6 linked regions of the Canis lupus familiaris genome follow. The protein of the gene in region 1 interacts with the protein of each later gene in a biochemical or structural test. Links are inferred from orthologs where the notes say so. Each region holds a gene or a part of one and is shown on either strand. Other genes may lie near its edges.

Region 1 (5,437 bases):
ATATGAAATTATTGCTAATTTTCTTAGATGCCATAATAATACTGTGGTCATGTAGGAGAATACAAGATGTATGCTGAAGTATTAGGGGAGAAGTGTGATGAAATCTGTAACACATTCGAATGGTTCAGAAAACAATGTAGCTACATGATAGATGATAGAGCAAATATAACAAGGCAGTAACAGTTGCTGAGTCTATGAGAAAGACATATTGATGCTCATTGTACTATTCTGTCAACATTTCCATATGTTTGTGAATTTTCATTTTTAAAAAAAGTTGGAAAAGAAGTTGGAAAGAATATGTGGAGGATATATGATAAAGCAAGTATAGCAAAATATTAATGAGAATCCAGGTGGTGTTTGTTCCCTGTAAGATTCTTTCAATTTTCTGTATGTTTGATAATTTTTGTATTAAAATGTAGAGGTAAAAAACTTGAAGAAAGATGATCACAACCCAGCATCCTCCTCTAGCATTCCCAACACCCTCTTCTCTGATTGACTTTTCTTTTTTCCCCACAGCACCTTATATATTATATAATTCTCTTATTTATTATGCTGGGTTTTGTCTATATCCTCTCACTAGAATGTAAGCTCCCCATGGGCAGGGATTTATTGTTTTGTTCTGTTTGTTGCTATATCCCCAAATCCTAGAACAGTGTCTGCACATAGCAAGTGTTAGTTAGATAAATGTTTATTGAATTAAGAATGAACTTCTGTATCTCTCGGACCTAGGCTGAGGTCTTGCATAGAGTAGGTGTGCAATGAATGTTTGTTGAATTGAACTGAGATCTACAGCCTACGGGAGAACTTAGAATAGAGCTGTTGTACCAGGGTGGTTCAGAGTATGGATTCTTGAATCAAATAGCCAGGTTCTGCATCCTGATTCTGTCACTTCCAGCTGTATTAACATCTCTGAGCCCCAATTTCTTGATTAGTGAAATTAAGATAAGGATAGTAACACCTTGGTAGGGGGTTCGTTTGAATGTAAAGCACTTAGGACTTTGTAAAGACTCAATAGTTGGTAGCTAGGGACAAAAGAAGAACATCAAAAAGAGATAGTTTTCCCTGCATATCACCTTCCTCCAACCCCCAACAGGCTGAGCCAGGGAGGCTAAGGAGATGTCCTCAGACAGGAATTCCTAAGTTCTTCTCCAGGCCCCCTGGAACAGTTTCTCTAAGTTCAGATCTCTTCTTACCTTTCCTTCTGCCCTGGACTCTTCTTTCCTCTTGGCATCCTAAAGCTCTTTCTCCCATCATAACCATGCAGGAGTACGGGGAAAGAGACAGGAGCCTCTGGGCCGGGGACAAGAGCTCAGAGCTTTCCTTTCCTCCTCCTGTTCTAGGCTTGAGTCCCTCACTAGTGATGGAAGCAGGTCAAGTGTGAGATTGCGGTCATTTCAGGCCTAGAGGTTGAGAGAACAATAGTCCCAAGGAAGAGGCACTGACAGGAGAGTAGCCACATATGCTGCCCTCTTCCGTGGTCCCCTGTTAAGAAAGATCACCTTCCTTGCCCTGCTCCAACATCCCTTTGGTCTGTTCTGCTGCTTCAAGTCTTTACTTCTGCTAGCCCCAGCTCAGAGCAAGCCCAGGGACCCATTGACTATCTCCCTGCAACTCCCTCTTGGAAGTGGGGTGGGGTGGAGTGGGCGGAGGACGGGTTGGAATTGGAGATGTGGGGGCACTAGATCAGGGGCTGAGCTCCCCCGTGGCCCAAATCCCCCGTCCCTGCTTTAGGGTCGGCCGTACCCCAGATGTCTGGGGAGCTGGGGCTGAGCCTGGGGTCGCCACTGCCTCTGTTCCTTTAAGGAGCCGCTGTTTAGCATTCCTGCCGCTGCCGCTGCCGCTGCCTGACTCTGCACGCTGATTGGCTGGAATCAACTGAGAAGGGAGCCAGGGAGAGATGCTCTTGACTCCACTCAGATCCATCCTGGGGACCAGTGCAGGAGCGGTCCTCTCAGCACCCAGCCTCTGCCCAGGCTCCCGCTTCTTCTTTGCCGCTGGGCCTCGGCCCAGGAGCCACGACGGGCGACACGGAGCCGCCAGTGCTGGAGGGGGAGCCGTGGGTGCGGGGCAGCGTGGGGGCAGAAGCCCCGGGACGCCCGCCCGGCCCCAGGCCCCGCTCCGCCCGAGCGCCCCCACGGGTGCCCCCTCCTTCCTGGTCCGAGCAGTGTGAGTGTGCCCGGGAGTCCGGCGGCGGCGGCGGCGGCGGCGGCGGCGGCGGTGTGGAAACCGGCGTGGGCTGGGGTGTCCGGGCGGCGGGGGGCAGTGCCATGCACAAGCACCAGCACTGCTGTAAATGCCCCGAGTGCTATGAGGTGACCCGCCTGGCTGCCCTGCGGCGCCTCGAGCCTCCTGGCTATGGGGACTGGCAGGTGCCCGACCCCTACGGGCCAGGTGGGGGCAATGGAACCAGCGCGGGCTATGGGGGCTACAGCTCGCAGACCCTGCCTTCACAGGCGGGGGCTACCCCCACCCCCCGCACCAAGGCCAAGCTCATCCCCACTGGTCGGGATGTGGGGCCAGTGCCCCCTAAGCCAGTCCCAGGCAAGAGCACACCCAAACTCAACGGAAGTGGCCCCAGCTGGTGGCCCGAGTGCACCTGTACCAACCGGGACTGGTATGAGCAGGTATGGACCAGCAGTGCGGAGGGGGGGGGCGGGGGGGATGGTGGGGTAACCCAGGGGAGGCTGGAGAGTGGGGGCCTAGAGGCCTGGGGGTGCAGCAGGGATTCCTGGAGGCTTCAAGCCAGTGGACTCCGAGCCCTAGCATTTCACCTGAGCTAAGAGAGGCGGTTGGAAATGTGTGCTTCTGTGTGTGTGTCTGTTTGGGGGTCTCCATTTGGAGGGGATTGGGAGGAGCTGTGTGTGTCAGGAGGTGAAGGTATGGCGGAGGGGTACATTTTCCTGTGAGGGGGACTGGGTTTGTCTCAGTGCGGAGGTTTAGTAGCGTCTCTGTGTCTGACAGGGGGCGGGAGGTTTTGCGGGGGCTGTGTATGGTGTGTGCTTCCATGGGGGGGAGGAGGGGGCATGGTGCTCTGCGTAGGGGGGACATATGTGTGTATGTATGTTAAGGTGTGTGGAGGAAGGCAATGGAGCTCCTGTGAATCTATGTAGAGGAGCCCATGTTCCCAGCTGGTTGAGCTTTATCCTTCAGTGCCATGAGTCCTTTTCTGTCCCAGTCCCTTTGTGTGTGAATGTGCACATGGACATGTGGGGATGTCTCTCTGAATGTGGAGGTGTCTCTCTGTAGATGAGGCTGCAGGGACAGCTGTGTTTGCCTGTGTGTGTAGCTACATGTATATGTGTGTGAGCATGTAGCTTAAGTGTGTGCATGCATGTGCCTGTGTGTGTGTGTGTGTGTGTGTGTGGTGTCCCTGGTGAGAGGCTCTTGACAGGCAAAGGAGGGGAGGGAGAGGAGGCAAGAGACACGTCCCAAACAAGGCTGAGAGGCTGCTGAGAAGGACGGACTCTTTTGTCCAAGCAGCTCTGAAGTGTGTGTGCTGGGGGGGCCCAAAGGTAGGGGGTGGGGGGACTAAAGCAAGCTTCTTCGCTCTAGAGCAAGCATGGTGCCTGGAGCCAAGAAGGGGCAGCTGCCCTGGTGCAAGACTGGCCCCAGCGGGGCATGTCCCCCTTGGGTACCTCCAGATGTGAGAGAACTTGGCCCCCAAGCCCTGACTTGGCACAGTTTGGGAACCCCTTGGGTGCTGGGCACAACTCCGGCTTCCACTCCCAGTCTAAACTGCCAGCTTAGAAAATGGAAGGAGCATCTGTGGGAGAAGCAGCAAAATGGAGGCTGGGCCGGCAGAGCCAGGTCCTTGGCATGCATAGCGGAGGGCCTGTCTGGTTATTTGGCTCTGCAGCCCCCAGGTTAGGGAGAGAGGAGACAGAGGCTTTGCTGTCGAGGGCAGGTGCTGCCTGCCCCAAGCTGGTGACCGTTCTGTCCGCCTCTGTCCTCCTCTGGGAATAGAATGTGCTCTCACTCAGAAGCAAAGGTGGGGACTTCCTAGGGAGAGGAGTCCTCAGTTCCTCAGTTCTGGTCTTTTGTCTGTCCACACTTACTGCTTCCCTTTTCCCTTACCTTGGCTCTTTGCCCTCTCTAGTGAGTCCCCCTCATTCTTTTTTCCTGTATCCTGGGGCCCTACCCTTGCAAACACTCCCTCATGCTTATCCTGCTCAACTGGCAGATAGGTGCCAGTCCCAAGGCTGGGCCAGTTGGTCAAGGTTTCTTTGCCAGGGATGATCCCCAGATGGCTCCTGGTCCTGGGAGCGGGGTCCCTGAGCAGGGCAGTGGGAGGCTGGAGCCTCTGGTTCTCACTGGAGCTGGGCTTGAAGCATGGCTTATCACATGTGGGCACACATGGTACCCCAGATGCACAGAAGGGCTGTATGGGTGTCCTTTTGCCTGTGTGTCTGTTGCATCTTACTCCAGGCAGCTGTTTTGGTTTGGGAGCTCTGAAAAGCCATGGGTTCTTCCTCCTGGGATCAGGAACCAGAGTGGGGCTGCAGCTGGAGTCCTCCCACCACCTCCCAGGGCTGCAGGGCATAAAGTACAGGGGGCAGGCCCTGCAAAGGCGGAGGCATGACTAGCCAATACTACCCGTGCCCTCTCTGTTTTCCCAAGCCAAAGCTACAATGGAGTGGGGAGCAGAGCAGGACACACGAAGGAGCCCCCACCCTAGGTTTGCAGCTCCCTTCAGAGGAGGACACCAGGGGTTGGAAAAGGGGTAACACAGCCAGAGGAAGATGGAGGAGGGGTGCTGGGTTACCCGGGGAGAGAGGCAAGGAAGTTCCTCCATTCTCGGGGATGAGAGTGGGAGCCAGGGAGCAGTTACTACTTGTCTGTCCAGAATCACATTTTCTCTTGACAATGGTCACAAGTTATATCTTGTCTGGGAGACCAGTTCGGTGGGTTGGTCAGAACAATGCTTGTTTCCATCTCCTTCCCCTCACTTCTCCCATGGCTACTATATATTGAAGGCCATGGGCTCTGCTGCCAGTCAGTCCACAGGTTATCAGCTTCTCCCTCCTGGGGAACTGTGTCCACTCTGCTCCTATCCCACCCCTGACTTTGCCTCTGACTCCCACCCAGATCCTACCCTGGCTTTTTCTGCTGGGAAACACAAAGGGTTCAAGATCAAAAACCTCTTGGTATGAAGCGGGTTCGGACTTTGACTCCTTCCACCCATTTGAAGAATTGGGTTCCTGGGGACACAGAGGAGATATAGAATGAGGGTTCCTGGGGTATTCTGAAGGGTACAATTTTCCATTTCCTGGGATTTCTGCTAGGGAAGGGGATGAGTGGCCAAAACATCAGTGGCCTTGGCAGCTTGATTTAATCAAAAGAATACCTGGAGATCCAGGTTCTAGCCCCTGCTCTGCCACTAACTCCCAGTGCGCTCTGAGGTACAACCTGTGTCCTCCCTAGGCCTCGGTGTCACCAT
Region 2 (5,197 bases), on another chromosome or scaffold:
GAGGTAAATGAGTATGGATGTGGATCTGTTTACAGGTATCGTAAAAGAAGTTGATAATGTTCCCATTTAATTACCTTGCTTGTCTTATACCTATAAGGAGGTATTTGTCAACAGAGGATGAGGTAGATGAAGGTGGGGGAAATTTAAGGGATTAGAGAGTTTGGAATAGTCACTAGTGACAAAGGGCAAGAGGGCTGACTAAAGAGAAGTAAAAAAGACCAATGAATAGTATTAAAGATCTTGGAGAATAGGAATTGTACACTTTTAGTGGTACCAATTGGTTCATTTATGAGTTTTCCCCAGTGGCCTTCACATGCATGCAGGACAGTTTAAGGAGAGAAGAGGCAAAAGCAGAGAGAGCACAGTTTGAAGAGAAAGGAGCTGGGAGGGGATCACATTAGTTTAACTCAAGAGTGATGGGGACCTCAGGTAGGTTATTTAAGGGGTAAATGAGAGGCTAGGGAAAATATGAGCTATTGAATGGAAGTAACAATAGCAGGACAGGCAAGTGTTTGGATGCAGGTTGACAAAGGGATACCAGAACGAATGAGCGATGAATAAGGCTTTATGAATGGGTGACTGGGAGGACTGCCATGCCATTAAATGATGGAAGAGAAGTTACAGATTTATAAAGTAGGATGACAAATTCAGTCTTGGAAGTACTATACTACTATGTAACAACCAGATGAAGGGTCCCAGTATTGTCTGGAGAAATTTCTTCTATTGGTCTTGGTATAGAGAGAAGTCGGCTGGAGATGTGGATTAGACATTCACTGGCATGGATAAACTACTTGAAGCCAGATATTTCCAAAACAAAGAGTCAAAAGAAGGGCAGATGTCGATCACTGGGAAATATCTACTTTAAGGGAGAGGGAGAATAAGAAAACTTGGAGATTATAATGGTAAAGAAGAAGAGAAGTAAATTCAAAGAGAATCTAGATCAAGTTTCAAAGTCACAGAGAAGCAGAAAGGGACTGAAAGAAAGGTCTTTGAATTAAGAGTCTATTTTTATTTGGGGAATAAGATGGTACAGAAGGTAGAAAGGTACTAGAGCAAAGAAATAATACAGACTTTCAGAAGTGCAGAGAAGTAAAAAGCAAATGACCTTTATGACATATATCACGTCCCAGAGCCAAACTATGTGTATTTTAACATCACATCCGATCTTGGCTTCTCAAAATTTTTATGTGCCTTAGGAAATTACCTCTCAGAATTTGCCCAGTATCCTCAATTTTCCTGGGAAAAAAGCACTTATGGTGTAAAGAACATCACACAAAACAAGTTAAGCCCGTCAGAATGCCAGGCCTCTAAAGTTAAAATGTACCGAATTAACACAAATTACAAAGAAGGCTAATTTACATGTTTAGGAACTACCCTACATAAGAGAAAAGACATGGAGAAGGTGCATAACCTAAATATATGTAAGACATAGTTACTCAAACAAGCAAAACCAAAAAACCTCATAAGTATTGGATGGAGTAGAGTTAAAAGGACGTCAATGTCAAACAGCTTAATGTACTTTTTGGAGCAATGAAAATATTCTAAAATTGATTGTGGTGATGGTCGCACAACCCTGTGAATACGCTAAAAATAACAGAATGGCACATTTTAAATGGGTGACTTCTACCTATGCCAATTGGTAGAACTGCAATAATTTTTTAAAAGCTTCATGTGAGATGATGATGTAAAGCATAGAAAAATGAAAATATCAGTCCCACTCTACTCCTCATAAAATGGAGCAGAGTTTAATGCTGAGTGCCACATACTGGGAGTTATGATAGGAATAACCAGTTTTTGAGTATACACTAAGGCACTTTTATATCAGGCTTTACCTGCATTATCTAATTCTCACAAAACCCCATAAATTATGTATTATTCTCATTTTTCAGAGGAGAAAACTGGAGCCAAGAAATATTAGGTAATTCACCATGGTTATTCCTTTACATAATGTAAAACCTGTGATTCAAACTCATGGGTGCCTGTGTTTAAAGGTTTATCTACTGGGGGGGAGGGGAGAATATAAACAGAATTGATCAAGTTAATGTTAATCCAGATAAGAGGACTTGAAATCTTGTTAAGAAAAGTCTAGCCTGAGGAAAAAGAGACTTAGGGATATGAGAGCCGTTTTAAAACATATAGACAGTCTGTGACATCAAAGAAATCCTAAGATACTTTCCAGAAACATCAAGGGTTTGCATTAGAATCACTGCCTGGCAACTGTAGGGATGAAGGATCTTTTCTTTTCTTCTTTCTTTCTTTCTTTCTTTCTTTCTTCTTTTTTTCTTTTCTTTTCAGATTTTATTTATTTATTCATGAGAGACACACAGAGAGAGCCGTAGAGACACAGGCAGAGGGAGAAGCAGACTCCATGCGGGGAGCCCGATGTGGGACCCCAGGTCACGCCCCGGGCTGAAGGTGACACTAAACCGCTGGGCCACCCGGGCTGCCCAAGAAGGAACTTTCTAAAAGCCAGTGGCATCTACGCAGACTGTTTTGAAGGTAGTGAGGCTTTCTGAACCCTGCCTCAAGACCTCAGATATTCATGCAAAGAACATTTAAGTCAACATTTAAGGATGCTAACTTCGGGTTGCTCGTTAAAATACAGGATGCCCTGTTCAATTTAAATTTCAAATAAACAATGAATGGTGTTTTAGTATTGTCATGTCCTAAAGGTAAGCCCAAAGCACTTTCAGTACTAAGAAGCTGCGAGCAAAGACAAGTCTCAAATATCGCATGGGATATACTTCTAAAAAAAGTATTCATTTTTAAAATGTCTGCTATATCTGGAAACTCTGGGTGTTGTAAAAATGACTTTTAAGATCCATTCCAATGCTGAGGGTCTGTGAGGCTAAGGAGCCAGTCAAGAGCTGTATGGGATGAAATCCCGGGGTGGGGCTGGGGGAGGCAAAGGAAATAGACAAATCAGTACAAAACTGAGAACACTCCGAATGCAAAACCAATGGGAACGGTGAAAGGGATAAAGGACAAAGGCTGGAATCAGAGACTTGTGGCCGAAAGAAAAGACAAAGAAAAGGCGAAGTCCCCGGAGAACTCCTGCTAGCTTCTCCTGGCCTCCTCCCAAAGAGTCAGCCCCTTAACTCACATTTTTCGCACACCATCCTTCCCCGACGGTTCCCCCGGCCGCAGAAACAGCAGCAGCTCGAGAATGTCAACACAACAGCCGGGGCAGACGTCCCCTTCCGGGTTACGAAAATCCGCTTCCGGCCGCCCCGCCCTCCGCCCCGCCCACCGCCCCGCCCACCCCACACCTGAGAGGCCGTGGGAGGCGGGGCTTCTCCCATTGCCCGCCCCTCCGCTCCTGCAATTGGCTGTGCCGCCTTGGGTCTCCGCCCCACAGGCTTGCGCCTGCGCGTTGGCCAGGGCGGCGAGTCGTACCTGATGGTGGGAGGTGGTAGCTCGCGCTCCTCTTCCGCTGGCGGGAGAGTTAGGTAAGCCCAGCGGCGCCCGCCCGGCACGCGAGCCTCCCGGGGTGCCAGCGGCCCCCACCCACTGCCCACGTGGCCGCGAGCGTCTGTGCCCCCGGCCCGCTGGCGCCCGCCGCCCGCCCGAGGGCCACCCTTCCGGCGTGACCCGGGGGCAGCCCCGATGGACCCGGCCCTCGGATCCGTCCCTGTGTGTGGCGCCCTCCGTTCGTCTCGGTCTCCGCGCCCGTGCCCTTTTGCTTATGCCTCTCAGCGCGGCCCCGCCCCCGTTCACACTGGCGCGGGGTGAGGCTCGGGCAGAGTCCCGAGCGGCCGAGGTTGGCGGGGGGCTGCAGGGGCAGGTGCCGCGGGTTGCGCGGGTAAGCTCCGCAGCCTCCGGGGCGGTGGGCGCGGGCCGGGTCCGACCGCGGGGGCGGGGGCGGGGGCGCGGGCGCTGGCCGCCGGGGTGTGCTCGCCAGGGCCCACCCCCGCGGCTGCTTTCGCGGGGGGGCAGACCTTTGGCCCACCCTCTTCTCCTCGTTCGTTCGTTCATTCATTCAGTAAGCAGTTGGGTGCTGCTCCGTGTATTAGAGCCTCATCTGCCCATATCACTTGGGATTCTGAGAGCGGCCCAGAAACATACCCGAAGGGATAGTCCGCTCAGACGGTGTATTCCGGATCCTGCGCCCCTGCCCCTTGGTCAGCGGATCTGCCAGAGAGGTTTCCTTCCTCCCTTCTTGCTCTTCATCCCCTTCTCGGCCCCTGGAGTGTAGATTTATGTCAAAGAGGCGAGGGTTTGACGTGGCTATAGTGCTTGGGAGCTTGGGACCTTGGACATGTCTCCCAACGTGCCTTAGCCTGTTTCCTTATCAGTAGAATATTTGCCTTGGAAAATTATAATGTGAACTAGATCAGAGCTGTAAAGATAAGGCCTTGACTTGCCCTTTTGTTTTTCTGGAATATTCAACCACAGTGTAACATGGGTAACATGTGGACTGTTACTTTGATATTAGCCAGTACTATGTATAAGCTCTGCGTTAGGTAATTTATAAATAAACATATATGTTATACATACCACGATGTGTATTTTATAGAGAGAAAGAAAGATTTTTCTTCTACTTATGCCCTACTTTTGATTGGAACCTAGCACCTGTAACGGACATTGTCATTTCGGTATTTCTGGAGCATTGGGATCCCTTAGTTTAGCATAATGTTCTTTGGCCTTTCCTGATTACACTGGCCACCATTTGAGTCCTGAAGTGTGCACTTGGTATTGCTTGTCATTTGCCAGAAGAGGTGAACTACTGTGATGTTAGACAAGGGTCCCTAGTGGTTACAAAGAAGAAAAAAAAGCAGTTTAGTCAGAGTGTATCCATGGATCGGAGAACGCATAGCTTATATTTCCAACCAGAGCAAATCATTAATCTCTGCGTGTTTGTTTTCACCGTTGTGATTTCGACAAAAAAGAGAAAGAAAAAGAAAAGGAAACGAACCCCTTAATTGGTCTTAGTACATGACCCTTTTACAGAAACTGGTTACAAATATTTAAGAAATTACTAAGTTTGGCCTTTTTAGGTTCTAAGACCTTTTTGAGCCAAACTAGTCTATATGTATATTTATATGTATGCATCTTCCCATATTCTGAAACTCGTAATTATTGCGCATAGAAAATTGATTTGTTCATGCTTACTTTTAGGCGTTGGAGCATTTAGACAATGGAAAAAAATCATTATTGGATATGCTCTTAATTTGTTTTTCATTAGATAGCGCCTTAA
Region 3 (5,015 bases), on another chromosome or scaffold:
TTCAACCGGACATTTGCTGTGGTTTGCAAAATTAATCTAGTAATATTATAGTTCTCTATATATTAAATAACCAAGTACTGGGCTGGATCTGCTTGTGGAGAGAAGCTAGCACAAAAGTAACTGCTCACCTGAGTCAGTTGATGAAACACCAGTCCCCACCACAGACTCAAGGGTGACTGAATGACAATGGCTTCCCGTTCTCTAGAGTTAATCTGGGCGGGTGCCTTAGTTTCCCGCCCCACCTCGTGTGCACACATCCTGAGTTTAAAAAAGATCTCCCTAGGCAGAGACTAACTTTGCTCAAAATACATAAATGCACTCACTGAAAGAAGTTAGAAAAATCAGACTTATTTCGACAGACCCTGAAGAGTGTGAGGCAGATGGACAAGTTAGCAATATGCCTATACTTACGTGTATCATTTACATAATGGCTATTGGCTGGGTCACTGATTATGAAGTGCTGACCCAAGGAGTTCACTTATCAGAATTACTAGGAGGGAGTGTTTACAAATACAGATGATCAACCCTCACTCTTGCCACCCCTTCTCCGCAAGATCCTGATTCAGGGAAATGGGTATTTATATGGGGAGGAGCTAAGGGGTGGGCCCACTTCCTTTTTTTTTTTTTTAAAGCACCCCTGGTGATTCTGATGCCTGAACTGGTTTGAGAGCCACTAGCTAGATTATCAGATGCTCTCAAATACACAGATGCAATTTCTGAAATGTTCATTCCATGTAATTATTCAGTTTCTGGGCCTATTTTCTCTCTTGAGTGAACCAAAGAAGATACAGTTTTTGATGAAAAATCATTCCATTAACAGCATTTGAACTTGTTTCTGTACCTTCAGAAGCTGAACAGGGTAATTCTGGAAGGAATATTCTATATAACATCTTGTTTTCTGACTTTTCAGATCACAACTATTCATGTAACCTACACTTTGACTTTGCATTTCCAAACCTGGAAACCTGAGATACTGACATGAAAATCTGAAATTAATCAGCATGTTTTGCTATTAGCTTTACTACTATAATCAGAAAGCAGCCAGATGTTCAGCTGACTTCAATCGAATAGCTATTTTTGATTATATCGTATTCTAATATTCTAAAAAGACTCACAAAGCTTGACCTTATAATTCAGTCTTTCTCTTACTCATCAATGAATTAAGGGTTTAGTTATTTATGATTTTTAAAAACCTTTGTGAAGCTTGTCATTAACCTCCTCTGCTGTACCAGCATGTCATGGCACATGTCGCTCAACATCCACCAGCCAATAAACCTTTAAGGGTGATTATGTGTGTGCTTTTTTTTTTAATTGTATAATTCATTTATACAGAGAAATCATTTGGATTATCTATTTACAATCTTTTTCAATTTTCATTTCCACTGGCCAGAAACAGTTCACGTAATAGTCAACATTTACTTGAGCTGATTACCAATATAGATCTGCCATGACACAGGGCTTTGGCCTTCCCTCCTTAGAGACAATGGCCTCATTGAACAGAAACATTTTACAGTGAAAGATTCATCAGTTATTTTTCCCTCTTATGAATAAATCCAGCAAAACTGATCTAAATGGTCAAATTTTCAACACATTTGTTTCCTTTCAAACCCATAAACCAAGACAAAGAAAAATTCACTTCCCCCAAGCCTTCTACGACTTACGACATACCCTCAAGTTTAGCTTTTACGATATCGTTTCAACGTCCTGGCACAACCAGACGTTTTTACCTTAAGACAAAACTACTCTCTTAGGCTCTCTTTTTTATTTGTTTGTTTTGAACTTATTACCAGTCAACTGCTTTCCCTCTTGCTTCTCAGACAACACTAAAACTTTCAAGAAAAACCTTACGGCATTTTTCTTCCCATAGTCCAGGATACACGGGGTCATTTCATGTGTGTTCTCCATTCTGACATGCTATGCTTTAAAGATTGCAATTTTCTTAATTGGCTCAAAAACAATATGGCTTGGTTTCACTTGGTCAAGTTAATCTGATTTTTTAAAAAAAGATATATATATGTATATATATGTATATATATATATATATACACACACACACACACATACATACACATTTTAATCAAAAAAGAAAAATACTTTAGAGACACACCAATTTGAAAAGGAAAATGCATCAAAGTAAAAAAAAATAAAAGCAAATACTAAAAACTACAAATTAAAAAAAAATTAAATACTTGGCAGGTTAAATGGATGAAAAATGAGGAATGTGCAATGAAAAACAAATACAAAGCATTCCAGTTGACAAAATGGAAAACTTAGTAAGTTTTACGGTTTGTTCTCCAAAGACTTTAAGTTTCACTGTAAGTTCTGAAATATCACAAACATATATTGTGTGAAGATTTCAGGTTGCTGATGCTACAAACTCAAACTCTGTATGCAGAGTTTACCAGAGAAACACTGGTGAAATCCCAGTATTTGTAAAACTTTAAGTTTTGGCAAATATTGTAAATATCACAATTAGAAAGTCTTGATGAATGCAGAAGAGAAAATCCATTTCATAAATATTTCATTTGATTAATAAAAGGCTTGCATGTTCTAAATAATCTGAGAAAAATATCTTTAAAAAAAAAGGCTACAGTTTAACAGTAATCTGCATGTATCTTTAGCTGCCTTAAAAAAAAAAAAAAAAAAGGAACAACCACCCAAACCAACCAAAAACACAGAAAATGTTAAGACTGGTATTAAGTAGCCCTGCAATGCTCCCATGCTTACATTACAAGAAAAAACAAACTGTACACATTTATAAATAAACAGTCTCTCCACCAGTTCATACACAGAACTTCCTTTATACCAAAGTCTCTTTCCGTTTGCCACTGAACTGGGCTTTGTCCCTTGCTTTTCGGAAGCCAGACTGTGTTTGGTGAACTTTCACACTCTTCACGTCCTCTGCTGTGTGCACTGGGGACACACATTCTGAAGTGTCTCCGTCAACCTGGACCTGAGTCATGCTGGACGCCGTGGAGGCCCTTCTCCGGGCCCGGATGCTCCCGGCAGAGGGGTCGTTCTCCCCACACTCCTCGTCGAGCTCTGGGAGACCCTGCAGGTCAGCTGGGCAGACAGCCTGCTGGAAAGGAGCGATGGCCGAACGGATGCAGTTGAACCACTGCTGTTTGTGGAACACATCGTTGGCCTGCAGAGTGTGGGACTGGCCTGGGGAGGGGTCTTGGAAGCGAATTCTAAAGATATTTTTAGCTAGAAGAATAAAGAAATGTAAAAAAAGAGACTTAAAAAAGTTTCTGGTAAATAAAGTCAGCATGCAATCTTAGGATGGGGGGTGTTCATATCGCAGGTACATCCATTAGGCAGACAGCCTAGGAAAAGCCCATCCCTGACTCCTTAGATACACCTGCTGGGTCAGGGCAGCAAAGCACCTGCCAACTCAGTGAGTGCAACAGGTACAGGACAATGGAATCCTTCTCATTTACAATTTTTTTTGTATAAGGACAACTAAATTCACTTAGGTTTTGAATTTATGTGTATTTAAACTACTTTAAAGCTTGTTTTCTTACCTTTATCTGAGTTGCTGAAAGCCCCTCGAAAGGACCCTCCCATTCTCACATCTCCATCCTGCAGGTCTTCCAAGACCAGCTCTTGGACAGGGATTGGCTGCCGATAAACCTGGTAAGAGTGACGCTCATTTCGTGTAACAGGCCGAGTCAAAACCAAGATGTCTTGAAACAGGAATATGTAAAGTTTCTGGAAAAACAAGAAATAAATATGTCTTAAATGTGAAACTCTGTAATTTTAAGTGACTGAAATCCACCATTAAAATGACTTGATTCGACAGTAACTTCCTCAGATTTATTTACTAACATCCTCCTTACAAATGATCTCATAAAGACTTTGATTTCAAAGCTACCCATGTTCTACTTGGAGAGCTTTTCTAATCTCAGACTATATAAAATTTATTTTTATCAGCGGGTAACATTAGATTAAGCAGCAGCTGAGTAAACGCTATGCACCACAAAACACCTACCAGTAGTAACATGTCTGGAGACACCAGTATCAGATACCAGTTTTCTAACAAAACAAGGATTAACAAATGCAAGCTGGTAAAAATGTTAATGGTTTGATTTTGTCCCACACAAATGTAAGCCTTTATAGAACAATTAGGCTTCATAATAGAAATCAGAGGTGTCAGGTTTCAACTTTTTCCGAAAAGATCTCAACTTCTAAACTGGGCTTCTAGGGAGTAGGGAAATGGGGGAAATAGGTGATGCAGATGATGGAGTGCACTTGTGGTGAGCTCTGGGTGATGTACAGAATTGGTGAATCACTACATTATACACCTGAAACTAATATTATACTGTATGTTAACTAACTGGAATTAAAATAAAACTTCCAAAAAAATGGCCTTTTTTCTGAAAAGCACATAATAAAACAAAATACCATTACATGGGGTCCCTGGGTGGCATAGTTGGTTAAGCGTCTGACTCCTGGTTTTGTCTCAGGTCATGATCTCAGGGTCCTGAGATCAAGCCCCACATCGGGCTCCATGTTGGGCATGGAACCTGCTTGAGATTCTCTCTCTCTCTCTGCCTCTGCACCTCCCTTGAACAGGTGCATTCTGTCTCTTTCTCAAATAAATAGATAAATCTTAAAAAAAAAAAAAAAAATCCATGCTTACATTTATTTAGTTCTAGCAAATACTTTTATAATAAACATTCATTTTTAAAGATTTTACTTATTTATTCATGAAAGACAGAGAGAGAGAGAGAGAGAGAGGCAGAGGGAGAAGCAGGCTCCATGCCAGGAGCCCTATGAGGGACTCCATCTCGGGATCACACCCTGAGCCGAAGGCAGACACTCAACCACTGAGCCACCCAGGTGCCTGTATAATTAATATTTAAAAAATAAGTTTGCTTTCATTCAAACTGTTGTAGAAATTTGTTTAGTAGTGCTACAAGTTACTTCTATCACTATAAACTCTTTGAAAAAAAAATTGAAAGACATGTTTTTTAAATTAGGAAACTATTAATTTATTTTGAAAGGAACCCCTA
Region 4 (4,651 bases), on another chromosome or scaffold:
ACTGCTTTAGATGAATATAACTTCAACACTAAGAAAGGACAATTATATTCCCTCCGAAAAGAAAAGGAAGAAAAATATTTATATCTAGAAAAACATTTTGAACATGTACCTGAAAAACATTTATATCTAGAAAAACAGATTTTGAATATATACCTGAAAAGGATTGACCTTAAAATTGGTTTAAGGCCTTGTCAATTTTGTCAATACCTGATAAAAGAGCTAGCACTTTTTAATCCCCAAAGAATGGAAGGAAAGGAGGGGGTATCACCAACATTCAACAAAAAGAATATTTTAGACAATGTCCTCTTGACGGTTTCCTCACTGTTTCTCCTAGAGCGCCTCTCAAGCAAACAACCTTGTTCATGTCACAAGTTCCCCAAAGTGGCCACTGCAATTCCACATGGTCCCTGGTGAAATTGTGCCAGTGGCATAGGCGCTCTACAGTGAGGAAAGCTGAAAGACACCTCGTGGCCCTGGGAGAGGTACAGTTCGAAGCTGGATGGACCCCACGAGTGCTGGGGTGCTGTAAGGACGGAGCTTATTTGCTCTTCCATCTGTGAAATTTGGGCAAAGGTCACCTGCCTCAAATTAGGTTTGAAAAAACTAAACAAAGCAGACCTCGGAATCACAAAAATATGACAGAGGAAGTCATTCCAATATTTGAAATGATGACTTTACACAAAGTTTATCCAGAGTTTGTCTAAAGAATGCCAGTCCTTCTGAACACTCAGTCCCTGGGGCGGTTGGAGGACAGACTTACCGGCCTCCCCTTGTCTTTTCCTTACGGACTTTTCCTCCTAAAGAAAAACAACACTCAAGACAATAGGTGATAGAATGGGTGTTAGAAAGTTAGGAAGCAATGGTTACTATTTACCAGATTTACAAGTCTGACCGGTAACTAGAATGTCTTGATGTTGTCATTATTTTTTATTTTAGCCATTCTAGTAGGCGTGTAAATATATCCCACTGTAGTTATAGTTTGCATTTCCTTGGTGGCTGGTGCTATTGAACAATTTTGTATGTGCTTGTATTTTACCCACACGCCTGAAATATCTCTTCGTGTCTTTTGCCTATTTCCTAATTGGATTGTTTGGTTTTGTTTGGTTGGGTTTTATTTATTTATTTTTACTGCTGAGTTTCGAGAGTTCTTTATGTATTCTAGACACTAGTCTTTTGTCAAATCTGTGGTTTGCAAATATTTTCTCCCAGCCCATATTTTGTCTTTTCATCCTCTCAACAGAACCTCTTGCAGAGGAAAAGTTGTTTTACCTTGATGAAGTCCAATTTATCAATTTTTCATTTCATGGATCATGTTTTTGATGTCAAGTCCAAGAACTCTCTGCCTAGTCTTAAATCCCAGAGACTTTCTCCTGGGTTTTTATTTTCCTAAAAACGTTATAGTTTTACATTTAGTCTATGATCCATTTTAGTTAATTTTTGTGAAAGGTAAGTCAGTTGGTCCCATTGGTTGATGTTGTACTTGAGTTTATCCAATTCTTGCGGAGTTTTTGTCTATTTGTTCTATCAGTTATTGAGACAGGATTTTGAAATTACTGACTGTAACCATGGACTTGTATATTTCTCCTCTTGATTCTATCAGTTTTTCCTTCATATAGTTTGCAACTCGGTTGTTTGGGGCATACGCATTTAGAACTGGTGTGTCTTTTTGATAGATAGACTCTTTTATCATTATATAATGTCCCTCTCTCATATTGTTTTTTGTTCTGAAGTTTACTTTATCTGATATTGAGAGCTACTCCTGATTTTCTTTGATTTACATTTCCATGACATAAATATTTTTCATCCTCTTGCTTTCAACCTGCCAGTACTGTTATTTGAAGTGAATTTCTTATATACAGCATATTATATATATATATGTATATATATATATATATATATATATATATATATATATATATATATAATTCCAGTCTGCCAATCTGTATTTTAATTGGTATATTTAGACTATTTATATTTAATGTAATTATTGGTTTGTTAGGGATAAGCCTGCTATTTGATTGTATTTTTCTGCTTGTATTGTCTATTTTCTTTCTCTTATCTTTCTGTTGGTTATTCAACCACTTTTCAGAATTCCATTTTGATTTGGCTCTAGTGTTTTTGAGCATATCTCTTTGTATAGCTTTTTAATGGCTGCTCTAGGTGTTACATTACACATACATCATTTACCACAGTCTATTGGCATCATCATTTTACCAACTCAAGTGAAGTTGTGGAAACCTTACCTCCTTTGTGTCCCTTTACCCTCCCCCATTTACAATAAAATTATCTTTAAAAATTCCCCTGCATCATATTGAATCACATCAGACAAGGTTAGAGTTTTTGTTTCAATAATCAGATGTAACTTAGACTCAAAAAGAGAAGACAATCCTATTGTACTTAACCCATATTTTTGCTTTTCATTTTCTGCCTCTTTTCTAATGTTCCTAGGGTCCTTCTTTTATTGATTCCTTTCTGTTTAGAGGCCTTCTTTTAGCCATTCATTTAGGGTAGGTCTGCAGACAATAAATTCTCTTAGTTCTCCATCATCTGAGAACGTCTTGACTTCTCCTTCATATTTGAAAAGTATTTTTGCTGGATATAGAAATTTGGGTTGGTAGACTTTTGTTTTAGCACTTAAAAATGTTGTGCTTTTGTCTTCTTCCAAATATTCTGATGAGACATCTGTTGTCTGGTAGGTGTAGACTGTAGTATTAACACAAGCACTGGACCAAATGTCTCCCAAGTTTGAGGCTTCGGTTTCAATGAAATAAATCAATGTTTATTTTGCATTCTAGAAATTTATCATGAAATATAATGGAGGATATAGTAAAAACTTTGCTAATATTTTTGGACTCAAGTTGCAAAGATAAGCCAGTATTTCTCCCTGTTTCATTAAAACCTGGAAAGATGTAAGTAGTGAGTGAGGAGTAACTTTTTGTGTCTGTTTCTTTTTAATCCAGCATAGAGAAGAAACTTCTGTCCTTGCCTCGGTTCACCTCCATGCCAGAAATGGAACCCAATGGCACCTTTGATAGTAGCAACAGCAATGGGAGCTGCACAATTGAAAACTTCAAAAAGGATTTTTACCCCATTGTGTACCTGGTAATATTTGTCTGGGGAATCTTGGGAAATGGCTTTTCCATATATGTTTTCCTGCAATCTTATAAGAAGTCCACTTCTGTGAATGTTTTCATGCTAAACCTGGCCATTTCAGATTTCTTGTTCACAAGTACACTACCCTTCAGAGCTGACTATTACATCAGAAGCTCCAATTGGATATTTGGGGACTTGGCCTGCAGGATTATGTCTTATTCTATGTATGTCAACATGTACAGCAGCATTTATTTCCTGACTGTGCTGAGCATTGTGCGTTTCCTGGCAACTGTTCACCCCTTCCGGCTTCTCCATGTCACCAGCATCAAGAGTGCCTGGATTCTGTGTGGGATCATATGGATCCTTATCATGGCTTCCTCAGTAATGCTTCTGAAAAATGGCTCTGAGCAGAAGGGCAGTGCCGTATTATGCTTAGAGCTGAATATCAATAAAATTGTTAAACTGAAGACCATGAACTACATTGCCTTGGTGATGGGCTTCCTGCTGCCATTCTGCATGCTCAGCATTTGTTACCTGCTGATCATTCGAGCCCTGTTAAAAGTAGAGGTCCCAGAATCAGGGCTGCGTGTTTCTCACAAGAAGGCACTTATCACCGTCATCATTGCCTTGATCATCTTCCTCTTGTGTTTCCTGCCCTATCACATACTGAGAACTCTCCACTTGATGGAGTGGAAAGTGAATACATGCAAAGAGGACCTGCATAAAGCTGTAGTCGTCACACTGGCCTTGGCAGCAGCCAATACCTGCCTCAATCCTTTGCTCTATTACTTTGCTGGGGAAAATTTTAAGGACAGACTGAGGTTGATACTCAGAAAAGGGAAGGCACAGAAGACAAAGTACAGCCTTCCTGTCTGCATGTGGTTGAAGAGGGAAACACAAATTTAAGGGGTTGCCAGGTAGAACCTGTTCTTGCATCCTTGTGCCCACCTTCATTCATCACATAGTCTCCAAATGACCATGGATTTAACTGTTTCCAACAAAGGTCCACTCCTAACATTTAACTGACCATGACTTTTGTTGATAAGTCCTACTTCAAACATTGCATTAGATGTGTTTTCAGTGATTGACTCAAAAAGAGAAATATAGCAGACAAAATCTCTACTAGTCTTGCAACCTCACATGTCAGACTGGGAAAAGATGCTCAGCACATTGTGTGCTCCTTTTCATCAGTTTCTGTACCAGATCTTGGTCCCATCAGGTATTCTAAAGTAACTTTAAGATAAACTCAACTTCCCCAGCTTCTCCAGCTCCTCTTCTAACTGGCTAAGCTGCATAGCCAGTTAACAAAGCTAATGGAGGTTCCAGAGCAGACCAGAAAAAAACATCCTAAGAATTCACTGAAAAGACTTTGTGAGGAAGGCTGCCCTTTGTCAAAGCAGAGTCAAGGTCCCAAACAAGAACAGTGAGAGAAAAGGGGAGAGAAGGACTGGGGCAAGACAGAGCTGGTAAAAAGTAGGGAGAAAGAGAAATTTCATGTTGCACTGGGAGAGAGGCTCTAGCACACTGCAGGCAAGAAGATTCCCTTCGCCTCTCTCTT
Region 5 (4,651 bases), on another chromosome or scaffold:
GGGTCTGGAGACTAAATTGACAAAGGAGAAAAGCATACGAATGTATTTAATATAAGTTTTACATGATACAGGAGCCTTCATAAGGAAATGAAGACGCAAAGTAAGAAACAGGAGCATTTCTAGGCTAGATTTGGTGACAAGTGAGCAGTCATGGAAGAATATGATCGTTGTTTGGATTCTTCTGAGCACCCCTTTGTCTTCAGAGATAAGGCTGCTCCTTTCCTCCAAGTATAGGATGGGCACCCTCACATAAAAGTTTTTTGATCTGTTACAGGGATGATGGGGAGGGGAAGGTCATTCTGATCTTCAGCTATTTTCCTTCAGCTTAAAATGTACAATATACTACAGTGCCACATTTGGAGGTAGTGTGTCCTGAACTCCATGAACACAAAACAAAATCAAGTATATCTTTGCTAGAGGTGTATGCATGTGTGCATGTTCATTCAGCATTTATTCAACCTTATCAAAGTGAAAAGAATCATCTGCTTGACCCTTCTTCCCTTCAGATGCCCATGTATTTCCTTAGTGGTCTAGATTTCCTCAAGGCCAGGATAGAGCTCACCCTCTAGGTAGAACACTCTATTTTTAGACCATTGCTCTTTTTTCTCTCATTTGGTTCACACTCTACCTCATGGAGAAAGGGAAATGGCTTTGCTATTCTTGGAAGTGGCAACTTGCTCATGAGTTTTTTTCCCATAATATGTACTCATCACCAGTTGATCTGGAATGATTTTTGTTTTAGGCAAGGGGATGAAGTGGTTACACTTAAATGTTGTGTCTCAAAAGTACTTACTGCCCTCTCAGGGTTTATGGTGCCCTGGAGTAAGGTTGGTGTGTGGGCCAGGACTCATTTGTTTCTGTTGGATGTGGATTTTTATGGGCTCTTTTTTGGTGACTTCAGAATTGTCAAACTCAGTTATTCGCAAACTGTCTTCTGTACAAGAACTTATTTTGGAAGCTGACAAAGTGGGCAAAATGAGGACAGTGTTCTTAAATCCCAATCCTGCTTCTTCCTGAGACACAACTTGTTTATGCCTTTTACATATTGGATTTCCATGAATTTTTATATGAATAACATATTCAAAACTGGAAGAGTTTAGAATTTAGAAAATCACTCATTTAGCCCAACCCTAATATTTGAGAGATGAGAATGTAGAGACCCAAAGGAAAGAACTGATTCACCCTAAGACAAATGACTAGGCTCAGAACTTGGGCTAGCATTCATCTCTCCTTGTTCAAGTTCCAGTTTTCTTAAGAAAGAACCATGCTGTCTGTCCTTTTATGACCAATAAACTCTTTTCTTAATGGCCAGTACCAGAAGAGGCAAGTTGCCACAAATAGCTAGGTTCTTGACTCTCTTCAAGTACTTTTTATTTTTATTCATTCTTGCTATGGAAAGAACATAATATGGATTAAGGTTAGGGCTAGAACATTACATATCGATGTAATTATCATGCTCACATTCATAGTTTCTTTTTCTTATAGATGTTATGTATAATATGAATAATTGTTTTCAATAAAGCACATGTAGAATCTTTGTTGTCTTATATAGGCAAGTAGAAACCATCCTTATCATTGTTGGGATAGGAAGTATGATTTCTAATGGTATTTCACATTAGAAAATTGAAAATATTATTTCTTTTCTTGTAGAGCCACATAAGTGAAAATATCAGTGAAGTTGAAGCTGTGAAGAGCCTGTTTTACGATTATAAAAATTACACAGATGTGTATGATAGAAACAATCTTCTGACAGATAAGGTACATTGCATATCATGACATAATCTGTGTAAAGTAGGGCATATTTATCTACATTTTAAGATCTCAGTAATGGAGGGCAGTGGGGAAAAATGAAATAATAAAATAAAATCTCAATAGTAATCTTCAGACTTCAACATGTGCACATTTCCCAAACTAGAGTAAAGCTTATACACCACGCGTGCATGGATGTATAGTTAAAAATTGGCCTGAAGTTTCATGCCAGTAAATAAATCTAAAGACTTCTTTGGGGGTAAGAATGTCATTTGGCCCAAGGATATTTTGTCAGTATCCATCAGAATGTAAATGTGCATTCCCTTGAGTTAGCAGATGCATTTCTAAGGATCCATTCTGTAAGGAATATGAATAGGAATGTTAATTAATGTGAAAGTCAGGAAATGTCTATCAGTGGGGGATTGTCTAGATTATAGAACATCCATAATTAAAATTTTATCCAGCATTCGCAAGAATGATGTATACAGGCTCACAAGGAAGAATGTTTATAAGGGTTGTTTGTGTTTGATGTGTGTATGTGTGGGTGCATGCTCACTTAAAAACAATGATTTGGAGGGGCATCTGGGTGGCTCTGTGGTTAAGCACCTGACTCTTGATTTGGGCTCAGGTCATCAACCCCATATTGGGGTTGATGCTGAGTATGGAGCCTGCTTGAGAATCCCTCTGCCCCTCCCCACTTACGTACTCTTTCTTGCTCTCTCTCTCTGTCTCTTAAAAAAAAGTATAAGGGAGTACAAACATTGAATGTTAAAAAACGGTCTTCCTGAGGGAGAAAACAGAAGGACTTTTTACTCTATTTTTAAACACTGTGGTATTGCTTTAAAAAATTAGTATATAATACTTTCATAACTAAATAATTTTACATTAATTACAATTAATATAGTGAGGTGACACCTCATTACAATCATATACCCCTTGGCCTCCAATGAATTGTACAGACTGCATGGAGAGTTGAACCTACTGCAGCAAATAAATTCTACTGCAGTGAATAAATTCTTTCGGATGATGAACAGAGGGCTGAATATGACTACTTTGAAAGGTTAATATTCTACATAGATCTTGTAAATGCTACGCTGTAATTTTCATCCTCCTTTACATATATTTCCATATGATTAATAAATTAACCTCCAATTTGCATGTTAATTTTATTTGCACAAAATTTGGGAAATTTTTATTTTATTAATAATTCTGTGGTCACTGAGCTGTGTCTCCCAAAGGAGAAAGCTATTAGAAACAGGTTTTGTACTGAAGGAAAAAGAATTTTGAAAGAGTAAAGCCTTTTTATTTTATTTTATTTTATTTTATTTTATTTATTTTATTTTATTTTATTTTTTTCTTTTGAGTAGAGTTGATGCACAGAGCATTACATAATGATTCAACTTTTCTCTGTTATGCTGTGCTCACCACAAGTGTGGCTACCACCTGTCACCATACAACATATTACCATTGACTATATTGATTATATTGCCTTTTATTCCCAAGACTTATTCATCCCTTAACTGGAATCCTGTGTCTCCCATTCCTCTTCCTTCATTTTGCCCATCCTCCTGCCTCTTCTCTTCTAGCAACCATCACTTTGTTTTCTTTGTTTATAGGTCTGATTCTGCTTCTCTTTCTTTGCTTATTAATTTTTCTTTGTTTTAGTTTCCACATATGAGTGAAGTCATATGGTATTTGTCTTTCTCTGATTTATTTCACTTAGCATAATAACTTAGCATAATGCCCTCTAGGTCCATCAAGGTTGTTGCAAATGGCAATATCTCATCTTTTTTAAAGCTGAGTAATATTACATATTATATATATATATATATATATATATATATATATACTGTAAGAAAGGCTTAAGTCTTATTTAGGAAATCCCACAAATCTTACCAGGACTAAATAGAGAAGTGTTGTATGTGTGCAGTGCCTGCCTTCATGGATAATTTTGTCTTCCAAATTAATAGATACATTTCCTAATTTTGTGAAAATGTAAATATAGGTGATAAAACAGTTTGGGTTTATTTTAAAGATTTTTTTATACTTATTCATGAGAGACACAGAGAGAGAGAGAGCCAGAGACACAGGCAGAGGGAGAAGCAGGCTCCCAGCGGGGGGCCTGATGCAGGACTTGATCCCAGGACCAGGATCAAGCCCTGAGCCAAAGGCAGACGCTCAACCACTGAGCCACCAGGTGCCTCTTAAACGGTTAATTTGGTTGTGTTAACTATACTCAAATTTTAAAAAGACTTAAAAGATAGATAAATAAAGATTATTTGGTTATATGTGTTGAGAGCATCAGTGCCTGTATTTAACTAGGAGCAGAAATAAAAGCCCAACTCTTTCCAGGATTATGCCTACAGCTTCCATGTCTGACAAAGGAAAACTTACTTATAGTAAGTTCTGATTAAGATAGGAATAAGCACAACCCCACTGGTTGCTCACCATGTAGAATTAGAAAATAAAGTAACTTGGTTGTTTTCTAAAGCGGAGATGAAGACAGCATAGTATCTTTGAGCTGGGTGGATATCCTATGCTGTAGATCACCTGGACCCTCATTATTTTATAGATTAAAAAAAAGAAAAAAAGTAAGATCCACATATTTGCTGAGAATTGTGTAATCCAGTGTTTTTACAGGCCTTTTTTGAAGAGTAACTTGTACATGGATTTTATACATACAAGTAATCATAAATGTTCTTATGAAGATGTTTACAGACAAGTCACAGCTTCTGTCTGTGCCTGTAACATCTTGCTGTCAGTGAAGACTATTGGAAACGTTTTTAAGTGGTAAACTCCACACAGGATACTCTTCTCTCCAGACAGTGATGGCACATGGCTGCTACCTTTCTGCAGAAGAACTGCAGGTATTCAAGGAACGAGGAGCAGCTATCTCACATTG
Region 6 (4,651 bases), about 46 Mb from region 1:
CCTGGATAATTTCCTGTCAACTTCTGTTTTGGGAGTAGAGTTCTGCCCTTTGAGGACCATCTCAGATTGTTGTTTTCAATGGAATGGCCATGACATTCACAGGGGCCAGATGTTCGGTCGGTTCTAATTGCTGTAGCACAAAAAGACAGACTGACTCAAGTCCTCAGCTTTTCCCAAAGAATAAACACATATGGGCTGGATCTCACAAAAGGGAATGGGAGTTCTTAACAGAGTTGGGGAAAATCTCCCTGACTCTCTGGACATGAATATTCTAGAAGGTTAGCAGGGAAAAATCTCCCCCGCCTCCTCTCTGATTCATGCACTCGGGAGCTACAAGGAACCTCAGAAACGAACTGGTTTGCTTTCTCATGTATAGATGAAGACTTTGAGCAACTTGTCACGGCTCCTTAGGGAGGACTGGAGTCATCAGGCCTAGGTTGGGTGGATGTTTTCTGTAACTCGTCACATTTCTGATCCTCTGCCCACGTTGAAATTTTGACCGCTTTGTAAATATTGGCGGTGTTATCACAAATGTGCTGTTCAGATCAAGGCCCTGTGTCAGCACCTGAAGAATTTACCTTTACATCCAGCACATGGAGCTCCACCCGCACCAGGCTGTCCTCCTCGGTAAACATCTCGATCCTGTTGACATGGCTGAAGTCAGCTAAAAGAGCCACCAGATTGGTTTTGGTGTTTATGACGTGGCTTATGCCATATCGGGGCCCAACCAGGAGAGTCACTTCTGAGCGCTTTTCCGCCTGCTGAGAGACGTTGACAAAGTATAAAAATCCTCGACCTCCAAAACACCATGCAGAGTTGAACCTGAGAGCCTATTCTTACAAGATCACATTTTCTTTAGGAAGTGTTTCTCGATCATATTGTGCTAAATCACCCAATTAGAAGAACCAGACATCATGATTGCATCGAGGCCCCGATAAAGTAGGAATAATGTAGAGAGTAAATGTTATCAGAGCACATAGATTCATAATCATGAGACACTTTTAGAAATGAGGATTTTTTTTCCCCCTCTTTTAATATGAAAGCAACTTCTGGCCCAATGATTTAAAAGAAGGCCATTGTAAGAGCGCATCAACTCTCTCGGTTCTTCATATTTCTTTTTCTAGGGCATTCTGCAGTGGTGTTATCTAGTTTAACATTTCTTCTGATATTTCCAGACTGGGGTGCAGCCGATTAGAAATGAAGGCTGGAAAAGATTCACAGCTGATTTGCTTTTGTCATCAAAGGCAGCTCATTCAAGACAGCCTATGGCAGTGACATTTTGCAGGCTTCCGTGGCTTCCAAGAGAAAGCAAGAAAAAGCAATTACCACTAATGTTGCCTTGAACACACGACCCCCGTACAGTCGAAGGTCACTGAGGAACTTGAGATAATGGACCTTGGCTTGCAGTGCAGAGAGCTGAGGAGAGAAAAGAAACCTCAGGTGTTAATTCCAGTGGGTATGGTGTGGTTTCTGCTGGAGACCAGCTAACCACAGGGGCGAACCGGGATGCTCTCACTGCCAACAGAAGGGGTGTGACAAGGACTCTTCATGACGAGTGAGGGTAAACTGCTATGTATTTGGGTTCGTAATAAAGGGTTGCAACAAGACATCCAGATTAAACCCTTTTTTTATTTGGGGGGAAAGGCCTGGCGGGGGAGGTCATAAACGTGGATCCGCTGGGCCGGGGCACTCAACAAAAGAGATAAGATGGTAAGATATTCCACTGAAATGTCTGCTCACTGGAGACCCCCAAGAGTCGAGTGGTGCTTTCCAATCGCAGGTAGGGACGAAGCGGGTTGTGTACAGGAGACTCACCTGTACACAGAGTTCGTGGGAGCCGTTTTGAACACACACCTGCCATCTACATACAGCCTGTGAAATAGGCTGGCCACGCTCATCTCAAGTTTCCTCCAGCCTTGGCATGTTTTCAGGGAAAATGAGCTTTCTGTGCTCCAATCATTGTAGAAATGTTGGGACTTGCCAGAAGTCCCTGTTTGATTAGTTCAACTCAAGGATCTACTGAGTTTCATAAAGGATATAAAACATAAAATTTTATCCAGGTGAGATGTATCTTTCGAAAGACTCAAAAATGGAGATTCCCACATCACAAAACAAGTACTTGATTGTTAACTATACCCAAATGCACTACCCTTTATGTCACTGGTAGCCAGCACTGTTGGGCCATCCTACTTCTTTCGAAAACCCAAAGCACTTTGCAAATTGATTTGAAAGCAAACCACTCACTCTTGGGTAGAAAAACTGACCTTTATAGAAAAACAGTGATCGATCGATCGATCGATCAATTCTAGAACAGTTAACCAAATCCAGTGGGCCACACTTGAAAAAAATCCTATTGGGCCAATCAAAAGAAATTAGCTTTGGGCAAATCAGAACCAAAAATTTAAAAAAAAAATTTTTTTTTTAAAGTTTACTTATTTAAGTAATCTTTACACCCAACACGGGGCTTGAAATCAAGACCGCGCGGTCAAGAGCTGCTCGTTCTACCAACTGAGCCAGCCAGCCAGGCGCCCCTACAAAATCTTCATCCCTGACGTCCTGCTAGATTTCTGTGAGCTGAATGCTTTCAGAAATGAGGAAGTAAGGCAACAGTGGCTGGAGTGTGTCGAAGCTGATTTTACTTTTTAAAAAGCCATGGGGTGAGGAGGGAATAGCAATAAGTATGTTTTAGCCAGTAAAAATGACTTATAATCCAATACCAAGACCAAAGAATTACCCACATAAACAGTGATTTGTATTAGAGCCACCCAAGTCTCTATGGCCAATATCAATTGTTAAGTGTTCTCGGGTTGTAACACTGCTTCCAATTTTATAGGTCCTGTATTTTTAGGGTCCTCTTTCTGGTTCTTGAAGCCCTTTGCTTTTTATTGCCTATAAACATAACTCTCTATTCCGACCAACAAAGTTTTAAAATGCCCTTTCTGTGTCTTCTGATAAAAAAATAATAATAAGGGAGATTTTAACACTAATGGTGGTGAATGGCAGAAATAATTTTATCTTCCTTTCAGAAGTAAGATTTAATTCAGCGGTTGTCAACCGGGGGTGATTTTGTTCCCCAGGGCACATTTGGCAATGTCTAAAGACGTTTTCCACGTCGTGATGGAGGGCGTCTTGTAGGTAGAGACCAGGGATGCTGCTAAATACCACACAATGCACAAGACCGCCTCCCTCCGCCAGCAAACAATGATTCCAAATGTCAACAGTGGGGACGTAGGGAAACCCCGGGTTAAATAATGCCGTATCTGGTCTGCAAGGCCCCTTGCTGGCTGCTGTGCATTTAAGACAGTCTGAGCCGTACGCAAGGGCACGATGGAAATGCGCAGTCGTCTTGCAATTCTGTTCTCTAATCACAAGATCTCAGTGGCTATGCAAGGTTCTCTTGCACGCACACGTGAACACACACACACTCCGTACAACAAGGAGTCCATAGCTTACAAGAAAGAAAGAAGTCTCCACAAGAACACCTACTTTTCATTAGCCTTAGAAACAGGTTAATAGGGAAGAAAAGGGGTGGGGGCGGGGGTTATGCGGTGTTACTGCCTCTGAAAATATTTTATTCACGAGCTAATTTTAAACATTTTTAGAAATGCATGCAAGCCCGGCTCTTTAAAATCCATTTTCCATTAAGATGCAAATGTGATACCTTTTTACCCGGTGGTACCAAGTTTTGATTTGCTTTGACAAGGTGTGAAAGTGCTTTCTTTATGTTCTTCTCTTTCATGCTTTGCAGCACAGCAGAGGGAAGAAAAGTCTCTAATCCCCATTCTTTTCTGCAATAAAGAGCATATCTTTAATTTCACGTTCTTGTGATGATTAGTTATCTAAGACAAGATGGCACTCTGATGTTTGTGGGAACAAACGAACTCCGAGCAAGTCAGGAAATGGAGCTGGGGCCCCAATTAGGGAAGCAACTTTGAATTTACGCTCTGGGAACATACTAGCTGATTAGGAATACAGCTGTTTGCACCTTAAAGGAAACATAGCCTTCCCTCTCCAGAGAGAATGCCTTGGGGACCAGTGGAAATGGAGACCATTTGTCCAACCCTCTTGGAAGGCTGGAGTCTCACTGAATTCATTCACATACCTGAGTATGTATTTCCAACACCATTTCTGCCGGTTCCTTTGCTTACTGCCACTGTTACTACTCCCCGTCCCCCACACCGTCTCTCTCTTCACTAGAAGGGCCTATGCCAACTCCTTCATGCCCCAGACCGCTCTTCCCTCTCCTGCCACCCCCCCCCCCCCGCCCAGTGGCTACTTCACTACAAACATACACTTCTCCGCCGGCCACATGATGTCCATCTAGCTCCTTCAGGCAACAGCTCTTGCTGGGTGCGTGTGTGCATGCAAGGAGCGCAGCTGGTGTGGTGACGGGGTGGGGGTCGTGACCCTTAAGTGTGTGTGGTACTGGTGGGGAGGCGCCACATTCCCGACAGGTGTGCACAGACAGGAAAAATGGGCAGCATTGGGTTAATAAGGTTTGTGGAGGGCCCATTTCCTCAGCAACGACTACACCCCTACCCCAGCAGGGTTCCATAGTTTGAACTCTATGAATTCCATCCTGATTGGTCAGGCGCCCATCCAGGGCCTTCTAAATACTATAAAGACCTTCAAGAAGGTTTGCTTGTGTCTC

What was found.
Region 2: the proteins of DLG3 (region 1) and CRIPT form a complex in vitro, tested with the Homo sapiens proteins (2 studies listed by BioGRID and IntAct, with this or other methods). The link is inferred for Canis lupus familiaris from reciprocal best matches to the Homo sapiens genes DLG3 and CRIPT.
Region 3: the proteins of DLG3 (region 1) and NET1 interact in a test that uses a peptide from one of them, tested with the Homo sapiens proteins (2 studies listed by IntAct, with this or other methods). The link is inferred for Canis lupus familiaris from reciprocal best matches to the Homo sapiens genes DLG3 and NET1.
Region 4: the proteins of DLG3 (region 1) and CYSLTR2 interact in a test that uses a peptide from one of them, tested with the Homo sapiens proteins (2 studies listed by IntAct, with this or other methods). The link is inferred for Canis lupus familiaris from reciprocal best matches to the Homo sapiens genes DLG3 and CYSLTR2.
Region 5: the proteins of DLG3 (region 1) and GDA form a complex in vitro, tested with the Homo sapiens proteins (2 studies listed by BioGRID and IntAct, with this or other methods). The link is inferred for Canis lupus familiaris from reciprocal best matches to the Homo sapiens genes DLG3 and GDA.
Region 6: the proteins of DLG3 (region 1) and FRMPD4 interact in a test that uses a peptide from one of them, tested with the Homo sapiens proteins (2 studies listed by IntAct, with this or other methods). The link is inferred for Canis lupus familiaris from reciprocal best matches to the Homo sapiens genes DLG3 and FRMPD4.

What each region holds. Positions count from the first base shown.
Region 1 is NC_049260.1:55,078,363-55,083,799, forward strand, and holds the start of DLG3 (disks large homolog 3), read left to right. Parts: upstream 1-1,902; 5' UTR 1,903-2,267; coding exon 2,268-2,624; intron 2,625-5,437. UniProt on the Homo sapiens protein: Required for learning most likely through its role in synaptic plasticity following NMDA receptor signaling.
Region 2 is NC_049231.1:49,890,460-49,895,656, reverse strand, and holds the start of CRIPT (cysteine-rich PDZ-binding protein), read right to left. Parts: upstream 3,230-5,197; 5' UTR 3,120-3,229; coding exon 3,104-3,119; intron 1-3,103. UniProt on the Homo sapiens protein: As a component of the minor spliceosome, involved in the splicing of U12-type introns in pre-mRNAs. Involved in the cytoskeletal anchoring of DLG4 in excitatory synapses.
Region 3 is NC_049223.1:29,479,986-29,485,000, forward strand, and holds the end of NET1 (neuroepithelial cell-transforming gene 1 protein), read right to left. Parts: intron 3,712-5,015; coding exon 3,525-3,711; intron 3,208-3,524; coding exon 2,801-3,207; 3' UTR 1,285-2,800; downstream 1-1,284. UniProt on the Homo sapiens protein: Acts as a guanine nucleotide exchange factor (GEF) for RhoA GTPase. May be involved in activation of the SAPK/JNK pathway Stimulates genotoxic stress-induced RHOB activity in breast cancer cells leading to their cell death.
Region 4 is NC_049243.1:2,883,222-2,887,872, reverse strand, and holds part of CYSLTR2 (cysteinyl leukotriene receptor 2), read left to right. Parts: intron 1-2,960; 5' UTR 2,961-3,000; coding exon 3,001-3,999; 3' UTR 4,000-4,651. UniProt on the Homo sapiens protein: Receptor for cysteinyl leukotrienes. The response is mediated via a G-protein that activates a phosphatidylinositol-calcium second messenger system.
Region 5 is NC_049222.1:86,202,248-86,206,898, reverse strand, and holds part of GDA (guanine deaminase), read left to right. Parts: intron 1-1,650; coding exon 1,651-1,758; intron 1,759-4,571; coding exon 4,572-4,651. UniProt on the Homo sapiens protein: Catalyzes the hydrolytic deamination of guanine, producing xanthine and ammonia.
Region 6 is NC_049260.1:9,178,159-9,182,809, reverse strand, and holds part of FRMPD4 (FERM and PDZ domain-containing protein 4), read right to left. Parts: intron 3,789-4,651; coding exon 3,662-3,788; intron 1,417-3,661; coding exon 1,327-1,416; intron 762-1,326; coding exon 579-761; intron 1-578. UniProt on the Homo sapiens protein: Positive regulator of dendritic spine morphogenesis and density. Required for the maintenance of excitatory synaptic transmission. Binds phosphatidylinositol 4,5-bisphosphate.